2 linked regions of the Mus musculus genome follow. The protein of the gene in region 1 purifies or fractionates together with the protein of each later gene. This does not show direct contact. Links are inferred from orthologs where the notes say so. Each region holds a gene or a part of one and is shown on either strand. Other genes may lie near its edges.

Evidence for each region.
Region 2: the proteins of Kdm5b (region 1) and Pax9 purify together in Homo sapiens (affinity purification with western blotting, with the first as the bait; 3 studies listed by BioGRID). This does not show direct contact. The link is inferred for Mus musculus from reciprocal best matches to the Homo sapiens genes KDM5B and PAX9.

The regions. Positions count from the first base shown.
Region 1 is NC_000067.6:134,612,079-134,616,032, reverse strand, and holds part of Kdm5b (lysine-specific demethylase 5B), read right to left. Parts: intron 2,846-3,954; coding exon 2,664-2,845; intron 2,147-2,663; coding exon 2,022-2,146; intron 116-2,021; coding exon 1-115. UniProt on the Homo sapiens protein: Histone demethylase that demethylates 'Lys-4' of histone H3, thereby playing a central role in histone code. Does not demethylate histone H3 'Lys-9' or H3 'Lys-27'. Demethylates trimethylated, dimethylated and monomethylated H3 'Lys-4'.
Region 2 is NC_000078.6:56,708,777-56,712,730, forward strand, and holds part of Pax9 (paired box protein Pax-9), read left to right. Parts: intron 1-876; coding exon 877-1,131; 3' UTR 1,132-3,954. UniProt on the Homo sapiens protein: Transcription factor required for normal development of thymus, parathyroid glands, ultimobranchial bodies, teeth, skeletal elements of skull and larynx as well as distal limbs.

The DNA.
Region 1 (3,954 bases):
ACAGAGGCACACTTTTCTGCATCCTGCGTGACTAGTCGAAGGTGACGCAAAAGATCATTGTCTGGGAATTTTTTCATTTCTGATTCTTCAATCAAAGCTTTAAAGCTGACAAGACCTAAAACAGAACAAGTCATCTTTCCTGTGATCAAGCTCATAATCACTATTACAGAGCAGAGAAGACTTTCTGTCCATTCTTACCCAGAAATGTAACACAAGCAATGTTTATCTGATTGGGGGGATGGGGAATAGTCTGACAAAGGGTACTTATAGAGTTGGGTCTTCAGGATATAAGTTTAGAATTTTTTTTAAGTGAAAATCTGCTGATTTGTGAAAGAAAAGTAATAGAGATCTACTGTGGTTTAACCCACTTTGTGGTCTTTACTTCACTGTATAGTTGACAAGAAACTGGTGGTGGTGCTCCCTTCCCCTCCATGAAAAGGGAGGGAGGGACCTGCTGATGTACAGAGTGCAGAGAACTGAGTCTGGAGGGAATGGTGGAGGGCAGGCTCAGCAGCTAAAAGCCCTCACTGTTCCCGAGGAGGGCCAGGCTTGGATCCCAGGACCCGCATAATGACTCAGGAGCATATAACCCCAGACCCAGGGACCCAGAGCTCTCTTCTGACCTCTCTAAGCACCCATACAAACACACACACACACACACACACACACACACACACACACACCATAAAGGAGGGAGAATGGCTGGAGGTAACCCAGCCGCTAAGAGTACTTGTTATTAAAGAGGACTCAGGTTCAGTTACAGCACCCACAGAGCAACTCACAATCATCCTCAAGCCCAGCCCTGTTCTGACCTCAGGGTTTATCAGGCACACAACAGAGTAGGCTCAGATACACACGCACACACATACATGCAGGCAAAACACACACATATAGAAGAGAGAAAAAAATAATGATAAGTGCCAGGGACACTAAATTTTGATTAGAACTAGGAAATGTTAAGCCAACATTTCACCAACATTTTAGTATTATACTGCATTTCAAAGAATCCATTTTAACAAAATACATAAAGTTGCTATTATATTCTTAAGATTTTTAAATTTATTCATTTATCTATTTATTTTGGTTTTCAAGACAGGGTTACTCTGTAGCCCTGGCTGTCCTGTAACTCACCCTGTAGGCCAGACTACCTGCCTCTGCCTCCTGAGTGCTGGGTTTAAAGGTGCGTGCTACCACATCCGGCTTGATTTATTTATTTTTATGTGTATGGTGTTTTGCCTACATATATCTCTATACACCATATGTATGTAGTGGCTGGGGAGGACAGAGGAAGCACTATACACCCTCTGACTGACTGTAGTTATAGATAGTTATGAGCCACCACGTGAATGACTGGAATTGAACCCCGGTCTTCTGAAAGAGCAAACAGTACTCTTAACCTCTGAGCCAACTTTCCAGCTCTATTTTGGTTTTCTGGGTCGCCCCCCCCCCCAATTTGTTTTTTGTTTTTTTGTTTTTTGTTAGGGTTTCTCTGTATAGCCCTAGCTGTCCTGGAACTCACTCTGTAGACCAGGCTGGCCTCAAACTCAGAAATCTGCCTGCCTCTGCCTCCCAAGTGGTAGGATTAAAGGTGTGCGCCACCACGGCCCTGCTTTCTATTTGTTTTTGTTTTTTTTTAAAGAAGTTTAGTTTGTTCCTTTCTTTCTTTTCACTACAGGGGGTGGGGCGTCAAAGTGGGGAAATGTGAGCCATGGTGTACATATGGAGGTCAGAGGTGAACTGGTTCAGATGTCACATGGGTTCCAGGAACCTAATCCAAGATCATTGGGCCCGAGAGGCATGTATACTGAGCCACCTCGCTGGCCCCAAAACCATCTTGTATAACCTATATACCCAGGCTTCACTGAGATGTTGAGGCCATCTGCCTCATCCATCTTGGCTAGAACCTTCTGCCAAGGACCTGGATGTAAGATTAAGCAGGAAATTAGGCTGTTTCAAAACGTTGGCTGCAACAAAATCCAACTAGACTTTGCAGCTTGAGTACCACTTTCTGCATTACTTACTTTTCTTCTTATTGATCTTTGCTTCCAAGGCTTCATTCACATTTAAGGCCCATTCATTGTAAGACTCTGCTCGAAGCTTTAATGCATTCATCATTGGATAGAGATCATCCAGAGTGTATCTATACCTGGACACAGAACACAAACAGCAATGAGACGGGCCAGTGGAAAAAACTGGACGTTATATCCTCAACATTCAGAGACCTATAATAACTAAAGACTCAGTGTGGGCTGGGAAGACGGCTCAATTGGTAGAGCAATTTACTTACAAGAACAAGAACCTGAGTTTCAATCCCCAAAACCTATGTGTGGTGGTGATCTAATTAGGAAGGGCCCCCATAGGCTCAAATATTTGAGTGCTTAATCATCATGGAGTGGTGTGACTTGAGAGGGAATCAGAGGTGAATCCTTGATGAAAGTGTGTCAGTGGGACTGGACTTTGGTGTTTCAATTGCTCAAGAAAGGCCCAGTGTCTCTCTCTTCCTTCTGCCTTTGGATATATAACCACATTCACACATAAATATGATCACACACGTGCATACATGTGCACTCAAGCCAGGGCATCAAAAAGACACTTATGCACATGCACACTCAAAATAAATGATTGGATGCTTTCCCAAAGGAAAAAAACTCATCCTTACTTACCGCAGGTTATACTTATACGGGGGGCAAGAACACAATTCTTTCACATGATGTAGGCAAACAAGTAGGCCAGGTTTACAAGAGCAGGAGATGGCAGACATGAAGCATGTAGTTTTGCATTTTATACACTGCCGCTCATCATCTGGCAACAGCTCAAAATCCATTCTTTCAGAATCAATTACTCCCTAAAACAAAATCTATATTAGAGGATTTGAAAGGATAATACAATCTAAAAGACCCAAGAAAATATGTACTATTTAGAACTATATAACCGGGCTGGAGAGATGGCTCAGCAGATAAGAGCACTTACTGCTCTTCCAGAGGTCCTGAGTTCAATTCTCAGCAACTATATGGTTGCTGACAACCATCTGTAATGTGATGCCCTCTTCTAGCGTATCTGAAGACAGAAACAGTATACTCACATACATGAAAAAAAAAAAGAACTAAATAATCTAAAAATAATAATAGCACATTATTCTACTTGTCCAAGGAGAATCCTTCTTTGGATGAGGCAGGTCCTCAAGTCTAACCACTTATTTCTATTTGAGCATTAATAAAATTGTTGATAAATGAATACTGCTGAAGTTAGCAACCTTACACCAAACTTACCTTACAGAAAGATTGGGGCACAGAGAGGAAGAGCTAAAGACACATGCTTTCTATCACAAAGGAAAAGTAAAAACACTGGCACACTTGCCTACAATGCACAGAGAGAGCCCTGGATTTGATCCCTAGCATCTTCAAGACACATACATAGAGGCACTTGAAAGATGACTCTAGGATTAAGAAGAATGAACACAGCTCTTGCAGATGACCTTAGCTCACAGCCACCTGTACCTGTCGCTGCCACCAGAGATCTAAGGCCTTCTACCAACACACATACTTTACAAACAAAGTAAAAATGGGAAAGGGAGGGAGGGAGGAAGGGGACAAAGGAAGAGAGGGAGAGAGGGAGGGAAGGAAGGTTGGTTGGTTTTACATTAATATTTTAATAATTTCTGACAATTACACGTTAAATCAACAATGACAAGACAAAGTAAAAAATGCTAATGAACAGATTTTTCATTTTAATCATGATCACTGAAAAGGACTTCTGTGGTCTGGAAAGAGTTGAGGTTAAAGAAGACCAAATACCAACTCTGAATTTGCTGAGAATGGAAAACATATAGTTTATACACAATTTTAACTTGTAAATTCCACATTCCACAGGTCAAGAATAGTTTTTCAAGTTGCAGAAATTAGCTACCATTATTATTGAGAATTTTGCACCAATGTATTTTATCTTTTTTTTTTT
Region 2 (3,954 bases), on another chromosome or scaffold:
CAAGCAAGTCTGCCTGCCAGAGCTGCTGCATCTTGTTTGCAAACAAAGATTTCACATTAAACTCCTTTAAAGAGATTTGTTCATATGGCTTTAAAAAAAAACAAAAAAACAAACAAACAAAAAAAAAAAACCAAAACCCTGGACTTTGCAAATGCAAAATTTCCAATTCAAAACTGCACATATTCATTCATATTTGTGGAGAAAATTTCCTTTCTGATTGTGAAAAAAAAATCTCCAAACTTAAAAAACCAAAACCAAAACAACAAAAAAACCCTTACTAGAAAAATCCCGAGTTTACAATGTCCTTGTCCAAGTGGCGTTTTCAACACGATATCTTGAAACATGGCCCGTGCTTTATTTAACAGAAAATCTGTCCGTTTTGAGTTTCTAACACAGCAGGCCACACTTTCTGCCTTTCTCTCCTGGAAATGAAAGCTACAGGAGACAGGTCTGTAACAAAGCTCCAACAAAAAAGGCAAAAGTTAGCAAGTGCCGGGGAAGGTTGACAGAGGCAGTGCAGTGCTGAGCAGAATTCCAGAGTGCTTCATCTCAGTCGACTTTTTCTCAGCCTACTTATCCTGCGTGTATTTTTAAGTCACAAAAGTAAGAATGATTTTTTTTTTCTTCTGGTTGTAGCTTCCAAAACTCGTCTGTAGAAAGAAGAGCGTCTTGCTTTTCAGAATTGTGTTTAAAGAGCAAGACAGGCTACCCTTAGGTCAAAGTAAGGTTAAAAGGAAGTCTAGGGGGAAACGACAGCCCAAATGTAGAGCCAGAGGGCTGTTAACTCCCTCAGGATTTGTTTTCTGTGTCTGAGGACTGGAGAGATGTTAAATACTGTAATGTGATTGTCTCTTGTTTCTTCTCTCTTCCTCTCAGGCACCGAATGGTCTCCCAGCTGTGAGCAGTTTCGTCTCAGCATCCAGCATGGCTCCTTACCCTACACCAGCCCAAGTGTCACCCTACATGACCTACAGTGCTGCTCCTTCTGGTTATGTGGCTGGACATGGGTGGCAACATGCCGGCAGCACCCCACTGTCCCCCCACAACTGTGACATTCCCGCATCGCTGGCTTTCAAGGGAATGCAGGCAGCCAGGGAAGGCAGCCATTCTGTGACCGCTTCTGCACTCTGATGGGAGCGTCCACTCCGGCAGCCCCACTTCCGGTCTTCCCTCCTAGCACATCCTCCCTCTCGTCACACCCCACCCCTCCAGTGGTCCAGCTTTACTGCCTCAAGAGCTGGCTTCATGGATTCATAATCTTTGTGCTGATGACACTTAAATATTTTTTTTTTTTGCTGTAACTTCCCTTTTCCAGGAAACCTGGCATAACTTTAGGATTTAAAAACAAAAGCAACTCTAAAGGTGGAATGAGGCATTTGTGTTGCCCGCACACTGTTTTAACACAGAGAAGAAACCTATCCCCCTCAAAGGGCTTATGGAACATTGTAGGTCTGTCTTTGGTAAAACCACACCTGTATATTTATTCTAAATCAACCTGAACTTTCGAAACGTGCAATTGTTGAGATTTTGCAAAATCAATAAAGGAAAACAGATGTAGAAAAAAAAAAAATTAAGTGGTATGCTCTAATCAAATAAGGTGACCAAAAAAGCTTTAATTCACCATTAGGAAACTAATCAAAAACTGACTTGTGTGATCTTTTGTTTCTTTTTAAGAGATGATGTATTTTGCTGAGAAATATGTATAGAACTCAAGCAATATTGGAATTTTGTGCCTTTGGTTGTTTTGACTTGGTTCCTAATACAGTAATGTTTGTATTTCTATGACCTTGTAAATATGGATGTGGATGTCTTCGTTCCACGGGGTACCCCTCCACCAACACCAACACCTCTCTTTTATCTTTCTTCCTTTGCAAAGGTGACTTGCTGGTGATGTATTTCTCTGTTTGGTGGTGGGCCACTTGGGCTCCTGGACCTGGACTTGCCCCAGGTCGTGTGTATTCAGTAGAGGCTTCAGCATCTCATGAAGGATACTTTTTTTTTTCCTATAGCAGAGGACTCAAAACATAGATAAAACAAATCAGGTTTTAGTTTGTATCCCAGTCAAACAACACATATGTCAAGCACAGGACAACAAAAAGGCTGTAACATACCTGTACTGCAATCCTCTAACAGAAGTCACTAGGAACACATCTAATGTGAAATGGGTTTTTGTCTTTTTTTTTTTCTTTCTTTCTTGCAACAACACTTAAAATGAACTTTATGTGCTAGAAAACCACTGTGAAATGAAATTGTACTGTTGTTGTTGGCTTACCTGTGTGTTCAGCAATCTCAGCCCCACATTTGTCTGATAACTTAAAAGGAGATGGAGAACTCTTCTCTAATGAATGTAGTAACAATGGCTTGCTGTGAAGTTTACAGTGCGTACTGAAGCATGTTTCGCGAGTAGGTCAATTGGTGTTGGCATCAGAAATACAAATGCTATTTAATTTGTTAGCAAATTCTTTTTTTTTTAAATGGAATTACAGAACAGAGATTAGCTGCTAAACCCTTCTATACCAATTTGATTTTTATGTTAATGTTATGAACAGAGCTATAGGACATGCAATGTGTGTGACCATGTGATTATATGTTTTATTTTATAATAGTTCATTTTCTTGGGCAAGATTCTACAGTCTGCATTCCTTCTGCTGCTTGGCAAAATAGGGTTAAAATTTACTTTTAGAATATTGGCACCATTCATCTATTGAGATATTAATGTACTGTTTTGGTATTAATTCCACTCAATAACTAAACAGGTATGGATTTTTTTTTTTTGTATTTGTTTTTTGTTTTTCGAGACACAGGCTTTCTCTGTGTAGTCATGGCTGTCCTGAAACTCACTCTGTAGACAAGGCTGGCCTCGAACTCAGAAATCTGCCTGCCTCTGCCTCCCGAGTGCTGGGATTAAAGGCATGCGCCACCACTGCCCAACTAGGTGATATGCAGCTGTATTTAAGGAACTAGGTGCCCCCCACATCCCCTCCCCCAGCCCCCCCCCCCCCGAAACAGCGTAGAGAGTTGTCTTATGAAATTTCTTATAGAGAGCTTCATGCTGCATTTCTTTCTAAAGCAACCAACACTCGTTGCTACAAAGAGGATTATAACTTTAGGAGAAGAGTAAGCAGAAGGAGCCAGAGCTGATCAACTCTCAGGGCCATAGAAGCCCTTCGATGTTGTAAAACTCCCCACTGACAATTCGCGTTCCCTCCCGCGTGGTAAGAAGACAGGCTGTAACCAAATGGCATTAAGATCCAATCCAATATTTTGGTGGGGACTGCTATCCAGAGAATCTGACTGAAGGCACAGAATTATTCTATATCTAATAGGTTTTTAGGTGACTATTTGGGATATTGCAAAATAGTAATTGCTTTTATGGAAACATAACTGATAACGTTATTTTCCTTATCTAAGTTAAGAGGTCTTATTGTTATTTATATTTTTCTGGTTTTTGTATTTTAAGAAATTAATATTGACGGTGTCAGAGTTTTCTTTTTCATTCTCGCTCCTCTCTCCAGGTCTCTAATTGATAATGGTAAATCCACAGGGAACAATTTTAAAAGACAATGGAAAACCGTGTTGGCAATTCATAGCCACTTCTGACTGAAGCCACATTAACAACCAAGAACAAGAACACAGTGAGGTAGGGCCGGCTAGATCTGCAAGCCTGTTACTGTTAACACCAGCCTCCTCCAGACACTAGCTCCTCCTCAGAGGGGAACATTTTCTAAGTTGGCACATGCACTCTTCATAATTCCTTTTTTGCCCTGTTGTGTGCCTTTAGCTCTCTTGCAGAGGACTCTAGTGTGTATCACCTTCCAGGACAGAAAACAGCCATGCAACACAGACCCACTTGTTCTGCTCCTGGCTCTCTGTTCTTTAATGACCCATATATTGAATATTGGGCTGAAATACAAATGAAAAAGAAAAAAAATCATGTTGGGAAAGATGTACAGC